Linked DNA regions of Rattus norvegicus. The protein of the gene in region 1 purifies or fractionates together with the protein of each later gene. This does not show direct contact. Links are inferred from orthologs where the notes say so. Each region holds a gene or a part of one and is shown on either strand. Other genes may lie near its edges.

Evidence for each region. The genes of interacting proteins can lie anywhere in the genome.
Region 2: the proteins of Ube2r2 (region 1) and Fbxw11 purify together in Homo sapiens (affinity purification with mass spectrometry; 4 studies listed by BioGRID and IntAct, with this or other methods). This does not show direct contact. The link is inferred for Rattus norvegicus from reciprocal best matches to the Homo sapiens genes UBE2R2 and FBXW11.

Annotation. Positions count from the first base shown.
Region 1 is NC_086023.1:61,081,305-61,085,356, reverse strand, and holds the start of Ube2r2 (ubiquitin-conjugating enzyme E2 R2), read right to left. Parts: upstream 2,806-4,052; 5' UTR 2,631-2,805; coding exon 2,454-2,630; intron 2,313-2,453; exon of another isoform or gene 2,108-2,312; intron 2,064-2,107; exon of another isoform or gene 1-2,063. UniProt on the Homo sapiens protein: E2 ubiquitin-conjugating enzyme that accepts ubiquitin from an E1 ubiquitin-activating protein, and catalyzes its covalent attachment to other proteins by an E3 ubiquitin-protein ligase complex.
Region 2 is NC_086028.1:17,735,772-17,739,997, reverse strand, and holds the start of Fbxw11 (F-box/WD repeat-containing protein 11), read right to left. Parts: upstream 2,802-4,226; 5' UTR 2,658-2,801; coding exon 2,613-2,657; intron 1-2,612.

The DNA.
Region 1 (4,052 bases):
TATTTTGTTGTATGTGTGTTGCTGGAGTTTAAAAAACAGAGCATCATGCAAGCTAGGCAGATATTCTGCCTCTAACCTACAGTCCTAGCCCAAAGTATTTTATTATTGTTGCTGCTGCTGCTGCTGCTGCTGCTGCTGCTGTTTGAAACAGGGTCTCTCTGTGTAGCCCTGGCTATTCTGGAACTGGCTCTGTAGACCAGGCTGGCCTCAAACTCAAAGATCCAATTGCTTTTGCCTCCAGAGTGCTGAGATTAGAGATGTGAGCCACCACTGCCTGGCTTTACCTTAAATTAGTATATGCTACAAGGAATATTCCCATTTTATCAATTCCAAATCATTAGCAAAGGGAAGTCTTACCTTCAAAGCTTTTTAAAAACAAATTCCAATAGGAGATTAACTACCATTTACTTAACTATCAATTGTTCCAGAAATACTACTTTTTGGAAATTAAACTGTATCCTTAAGCCCAGTGGCACTTTAATCCCAGAATTTGGAAGGCAGGGGCAGGGTGATAGGGTGATCTATGTGAGTTCAAGGCCAGCCTGGTCTACAGAACAAGGTCCAGGTCAGCCAGGGTTACAAAGAGAAACCCTGTCGAAAGAAAAAAAAAAAAGCAAAAAACAAATAAACAACTGTATTCTTTAAAATTAATCAGTAGTCTGCTTTGAAGATGTTTTCTAGGAAATGTCTCATGAACTCCACTTTGTGCAATATTCCCAATATCTACAAATTAAAACTTGTATCTGACAGTGCATATAACACACCTCAACATGGAACAATACCTTCCAATCTTTCACGAATAAACTTGAACCTTCACTTAGTCACTTTAAGCACCTGCATCTAAAAAGCATAGCTGCATGCTGACCACAAAAGATGAAGCAAACAGTTGGTAAGGATACCACACTCTTACATAACACTCTAAAAATGTCCTTTTACTAAGTATTCAGCAACTATCACATGCACGAATGTTAAGCATTCCCTATCAATCCTATTTTCAACAAAGTTGACCCAGTTTAAAGCCTGAAACTTGAGGCTTTTGAACGGTAGAAAATAAGAGTTAAGTAATTGGGTAGTCCTAAAAATACACATCACAACTACATGACTAAGATATTCGTTTAAAACTTGTGCCAAGATAACCCCTCCCTTCAAAACAAACTAAAATTGACTCATTGGCCTATTTTACCTAATTTTGGAAATAAAATAATAAATGGGTTCCTGGGGCTGGGGATTTAGCTCAGTGGTAGAGTGCTTACCTAGGAAGCGCAAGGCCCTGGGTTCGGTCCCCAGCTCCGAAAAAAAGAACCAAAAAAAAAAAAAAATAAAATAAAATAAAATAAAAAAATAAATGGGTTCCTAAACACCCATTTCCTCTGTCTCTACCCCTACTCCATCTTCACTCAGGGATTCTACCCTCCCAAAACAAACAAACAAACAAACAAAAAACGCTTCAGTCAAATCAAGACAAAAAAAAAAAAAAAACAACTCAGTATCTCCAAGTACTGAACTCAGGAATAATTCATGGAAAACAATAGAAACAATGTCTATATAGTGGCTGCCTAAGGAACCACTCCACCACGAGAAACCCTGTCACCTCGGATGCGGCTCATCTGTGGGACGACCCCATTTGCTGGAGCTAACAACCACCTAAGGAAAAGCTTTTAATCTTGTCTCCCTAAAGTGGGAAACTATCCATCTGCCTGACGTGTTCCACCCTTTGTGGATGTTTGTACATGGGGGGTGGGGGGTTGCTAGTAAACTCGGTAGGAAAGGACAAAGGGCATTTTGGCAACAGCAGAGACTGACTATAAAGTAAATGGGAAAACGAGGGCAAAAAAGAGGACTAAACTGAAGTCCCCTCAAGCGGATGAACAGAAAGACAACGCCAGCACACCACCCTCCCTTTTTTGGCCACCCCCAGGGTCCTCTTCCTTATTACCACCTACAGTAAGCAAAAGTTGAACTACCACTACCCAAGACCAACAAATCCTCCAAATGTCAGGGCACCAGCCACATAGGAAATGACAGACTAATATTCCTCCCCCACACCACCCCCCCAAAAAAAGAGAAAAGTCCAATCCAATAAGTGCAGGTCACCCTGCCCTCTGGGGCAGTTCCAGCCTGCGCAGAGAAGGCTCGGATGGATCGAGAAAGAGAAGATAGACCATCTCTATTTCCACACACCCCTCAGCTGGAGAAACAAAACAAAGGCAACCCTCCTTCCCGGTAGCCACTACCCCAGCCACAGAGGCTTTCCTATTTCCCGGTGCAGTCTGGCCTCCCGCCCCCGCCCCATGACAAAGAAAAGGCACTTGGTGAGCAAGGCCTTCCTGCCTCTACGGATGGGGGAGGGGGATGCGAGGTGAGGAGCCCCCTCGGCTCCCCAGAGCTCACGCTCCGGGCCAGCGGCGGAAAGCGGAGACAGGGGAAGCTGGGCCGGGAAAGGGTGGCGGTACCTTGAAGTAGCCGCCTTCGTAGAGGGTGTTAGGGGGTCCGAAGATGGCCACCTCCCAGTTGTAGAGGTCGGACTCATCCACCAGGGTGATCCGGAAGCCCTCCACCGGTTCCTCCTGCAGGGATTTCAGCTCAAGCATCAGGGCTTTTTGCGAGCTGGTCATCTGCTGCTGGGCCATCGCGGCGGCGGCCGTGCGGGGCCGCGGCCCCAGTCCTCGCGCACCGGCCGGGCCGGACCAGGCCCCTCCCCTCCGCTCGCCCTCGGGCCGGGCCGGGCCCCTGTCCTCACACGCCTGGCGGGGCCGGACCAGGCCCCAGACGGCCCGCGGGCCCGCCCGGGGTCCTCCTCACTCACGACGCGGGCCGGCCCGGGCCCTCCTCACACTCGGGCCGGGCGGGGGCGGGCCTAAGGGAGTTGGGGGAATCCGCTCCGGGCCCCGGGCCTCCCCCCCCCCCGGAGGGGGCCTCTACTTGTGGGGGGGGGAGTGGAGGTGGAAGCGAAGGAAGGCGGCGGAGGGCAGGCGATGGTGAAGACAGGGGGGCCGAGCCGGCCCGGGATCGCCGTGCTCGCTTGCCCTCTCGTTCTCCGCGGGGGCCGGAGGGGCGCACGAGGGAGGGCGCGCCGTGCGCTGGGGTCTCGGGACGGCGGCGGCGGCGGCGGCGGCTGCGCAGGGGGAGGGGCGGAGAAGGAGAGCGAGAGCGCCTCGCGCCGCGGGAGCGACAGAGCAGAGAAGGAGGGAGGGAGGGAGGGAGAGGAGGAGGAGGGGCGCGCGCCGGGAGGGGGGCGGCTCGCAGCGGCAGCGGCCCGGTGCGCGTGCGCGCGCCCCTCCCTCCCCCCGCCCTCCTCGCTGTGCTCTGCTCTACTCTGCTCCTGCTCTTGCTCCCGCCTGCTCGCTTCTCCCCCGCCAGGCCCCACGGTGGCTGCGCTTTGTGACGCCTGCGCGTGTCCCCCACCCTTAAAGAGCCAAGCGGAGGTGGGGATCAAGGGCGGGTCGCAGAGGATCGCTTTGGGCCCTAAGTGACGGTTGTGCGGCTGGACGCCGCGGTTCCAGAGGCGTGTCCCGGAAGGAACCTCAGTTCCTTAGGCTCTCGGCGCTATCGCCCTGTGTGTCCCCTGGCCTCCGCAGCCTTCCTATGAGGAGCCCTGGTCCTCTGCGGGCTCCCCTCGGTGACACCCAGGCTGTGGTCCTTACATTTAGTAGTGCTTCATTAGGTTGCGTCTCCTGCAGATCGAGCCCCTAGACAAGTCTCAGGGAAGGCAGTCTCCCAAAGGAGGGCTGGAGAAAAGCAGGCTAGCTCCTGCTTCCTTTTACCGAGAATAGGTTGTGTAGAAAGCGTAGAATACTAATATTGAACCTGATTACGGGGTCTATATGAGATTTGGGGAAGAGTGCTGGCTACACCTTGGTTTACTTCTTTGCAAAATATTGATGTCGGCCTGGTGTGCGCTTGGAAAGGAACAAAAGCAAAATGATCAATATGAGGCCGACCTGGTCTACTTAAGTAGTTCCTTGCCAGTCAGTACTATGTTGTGAGACCCTGTCTCTAAAAACAGAAGGCTGTGGATCTACCTGGACGCATGGCTAGGAAGACACAGTCTT
Region 2 (4,226 bases), on another chromosome or scaffold:
AGGTACCAACGATTTGGAAAAACTGTAGCTGCACACCTTATAAATGACTCAAGCAACGAGCCATACGCATAGACAGTAAATCAGATCCAGCAATGCAGGCCTCGGCACTACAATCTTTAGGGGGTTTGAGACTGACTTTTGGTTGGTTGTGGTTTTTTTGTTTGTTTGGTCTTTGTTTTGGTTGGTTTGGGGGATTTCATTTATTTGTTTAGGTTTTGAGAGACAGGGTTTCTCTGTGTAGTTCTGGTTGTCCTGGAACTCACTTTGTAGACCAGGCTGACTAACTCACAGAGATTCACCTGTCTCTGCTTCCTGAGAACTGGGATTAAAAGCATGTGCCACCATGCCTGGCACATTTTTTTATTACATTTCTAAGAATCCTACATTAAATCCCTTTTATGTCTTCATTAGGTGACATCTCTTCAATGTAAGGGCAAACAATATCACACAGTCTAACCCAGCCATGAGGATTTTATGGACACTAAGGAAGCATGTGCTCTACCACTAAGGTGCACCCCAGCACCTTAACAGTTACTCAAAACAAAACAGTTATAAGCTTAGAAAACCAGTAAGTGTGGGCCAGAATATTTCTTTAGTCATATGCTAAAAGACCATGCCTGAGGTTAATTACACTGTATTTCTTCTAACTCTCCTGAAAAAGAAGACATTTTGGTTGTTTTAAGTGAATATGTTTCATATGAAGCACTGGTCATTATGAAAGCAGATATACTGTTTTGTCTTTAAGAAGATGGAACATGTATCTTCATACATGAAGATACTTTGACACTTTGCCAAAAAAGAGGTCATCAGGATGGCTCAACCAAAGACACGTGATCATACATGCAGAACGAAATGAGTTCAAGTCCCAGAACCCAGGTAAAAGCAGAAGAGAATCTTTACAACATGGTCCTCTGACCTCCACAGGCCCACTGTGGTGCACGTGTGAATTCACATTAATACATAAGGCACGTTTTAAAGACATTTTGTCAAAATAACGGACTACTAAAGTTTCCCAAACTGTTACAACCGACAATTGGATGCTGAAAAAGAAAAAAGGTCCTCAGAACCTGAAGATAAAGTGACAGAATCCCTGTGAACACACACACACACACACACACACACACACACACACACACACCCCAGAAACTTCCAGGTTTGATTTTTCAACCATCCAGTTCTGCACATTGTGCTGAGTCCAGCAGACATGAGACTCTGTAGTTATGCTACTATTACTTCCATTTTAAACGTGTACCTTAGCTCCCTGGACAACATCATCCACAAAAACCATGGGCTATCCAACAGACTTTCAGTATCACCATTTATTATTTATAGCACTAAATGGGGGAAGTGGCTCTGATGTCACCAACCCTACCCAGTGGAATCACTGACTCAATAAGCATTTCACACTGGAGAAACTCTGACGAGGAAAACACATTGCTAAGTTCAGTAGATCGTTCACCTTTCCTCAGTACTGTGCGGCAGATACTAGTTGTTACGATATTAGTAGAGATACAAAGAAACTGTCAAGGTTTTCACAGGAAGAAGCCTTTCTTATGTCCCCAACTCTCCTGGGCCCAGTTTGATTTCCCTCACGTTCAAACTGGCAGGTACTACCAGCCATACTTTATTTCTTCCACCAATAAGCAAATCCTTCACTTTCCCAGCCATTCACTCACAGCCCTGTTTCCAAAAACCTTTCTAGCACCAAGTCTGAGGTCAGAAATGGGTTAGGGGTGTCCGGGAAGACCTGACCAACCTGGCTACCAAGGGTTTCTAACAGTAAAGGGATCGCTGCTTCTCGGTGGGTCAAGAACACCCCCACACACACACCGTCCCGCTTTTTATTATTAAAAGAAAAGAGGGTGGCAGTGATGAAGGCGACCTCTTCTCCCTCCCCTCTCATTTCCCAAATGATAAAGTTATGGTTTTCCTTTTCTGGGGGATGGAATTCTGAGTACCTAGGGCCCTGCTATACAAACATCCTTCACGGCAGGGTAGGAAACCCTTTGTCCAAGAAGCCTGACACCGCAGGGGCTCGGAAAAGAGGCCCCTTATCCCCTACAGCCTCAGACTCGTGGGCATGCCCAACATCCCAGTCCTGAAGGGCCTATCCTGGCATCCACACAGCGGTAGCTTGGGGTGAGGGTGCTGAGACCCACCGCCACCCCACCCCCTAAGCCTAGGTTACGGAGGCCGAAGCGGCTCCAACTGGTCTCGGACAACCTCCCACCACCATCACCCTCGGCTTGAGCGGGGCTGGGAAGCGCGATGCAGGCCTGGCAGAGGAATCCAGGGAAGGGAAAAAGAAATCCCCTTCTAAAAAGACAGTGTGATGGCAAGGCGAGAGTGAGCGGTGGCTCCGGCAGGAGCGAGGCAGGGGCGCCCGAGACTGGTCGGAGCCCGGCAAGGAGCGGGGAGGGGGTGGGGGAGTTCGCGGGGAGCGGAGGCCGGGCCGGCCCAAGAGCGCGAGGCGTCAGCAGCGAGCCGTAGCAGGGGGCCGGCCGGGCCCAGGCGACGGGGAACGAGGGCTGGCCTGGCGCGGACGCCGAGGTGGGCAGGCCCCCGGGCCGCCGGCCGGCCGGAAGAACTGAAGGCCAGCGGGCCGCACTCACCATGAGCTCGATGGTCTTGTCTTCAATCACCGAGTCGGGCTCCATGGCGGCCCCGGCGGCCCCGCCTCGCTCTCTCCGCTCAGCAGCGAACGGCCCGGGCGGAGGAGGCGGTGGCAGCGGCGGCGGCGGAGGCAGCTCTGGCACCCACTCTAGCTGCCAGCCCGCCCGGGCCGCCGGCAGCTCCGCCCTCCCCCTCGGCGGACGCAGGACGCACGGCGAAGACTACAACTCCCAACAACCGCGGCGGATCGCTAAGCCTTATGGGAACAAGAAGCCGTCGGGCCACTCTGCCAGGGTTCCGCCACGGGAGAGAGCACCTAGGGGAGGGCAGGGCTGGGAGTGCGGGGACATGCAGATCTGGAGTATCTAGGACTTGCTCGGGATAGGGCCTCGCGAGCGCCGCGACTACTTGTCCCAGAAATCCTCGCGCGCGCGGTCTCCTTCCGGTTGGTCGTTCCAGACTTCCTGGCAGCGGGTGGCTGCCCGGACCCGGACGGAAACTCCGAGGCAACTCCTCACTTGTCTGAGATCTTTGCGGTGCGACCGATTTCCGCACATGCGCAGTAGTTGTCTGCAGTGCCCACTGGTCGTCTAGGTGCTTGCGCGGCCGCCCGGTGTATTACACTTGGTAGGGACAGATGGTGGAGACAGGTGGGTCCGAGGTTGCACCAGGAGGTGTGGGAGGGGTCTGTGAGCCCGAAGATCCAACCAAGGGAAGATGGACATCTCAAGAGGAAAAGTTTGGAGGCTTGAGTTGGGAAACAGATGTATGGAGAGCTGCTACACTGGAAGTAGCTGAGCCATGAGAAAGAAGCTGATCATTTTGAAGACATTTTTAAGCATTCCGTTGCTACTAGTACTGCCCTAAGCTCTGGAAATGACAGGCGAGACCTCTGTTCTCGTGAAGCTTAATTCTAATGGGAAGACAGCAGACATTCACCAAGAGTTAGAAATGCTGTGAAGAAACACATCTAGAGACTTCCAGTGAACTCTTCCTCTTAACTCTGTGTGCCCTCCAAGTTGTCAGTACCCTCAAACCAAAAACCCCCAGGAATACGCTGTAGTTAAACAAGGTGGGTTTATTTTAGCTGAACTAGAAGAGAACATGCACCACGATGAATCATGGACGTCTCAGTAAGAGACATTAGGTAATGTAGAAAAGGATTTGAAGGGGCTCTGGAGCGCATACTGCCAGGAAGTGGGGGTAATAAGGTTGGACACCTTATCTATGGGAAGTTATATTAGATTGAAACTAATCCAGTAATTGATGACAGCCTCTTGTAGCCGTGTGTCAGGGGCTTAGACAATGTTCATGTTTTATCTGTGTTCACGAGTAATTATGGAGTGGTCTTGTTTTTGTCTTGATCCATAAGATAAGGCCGTTCTGTGGCCTTGTCTAATGTTAATGGTCTGTGAAGTTGTTTATGTTTTACTGGAGATCTGGCTGTAGAAACCAAGCTCTGGCTATTATCGTGTATCTCGAGGGCCTGGCTCATTGTACCCAACCCACTTCACAGTAGCAGTGACTTGAGAAGCTTTCCTGCTTCTCAAGTGTGTTTCAATTCTTTGCCCCTGTAAAGTGGATGACTTAGAACTCTTCCCATTTCCAAAGAG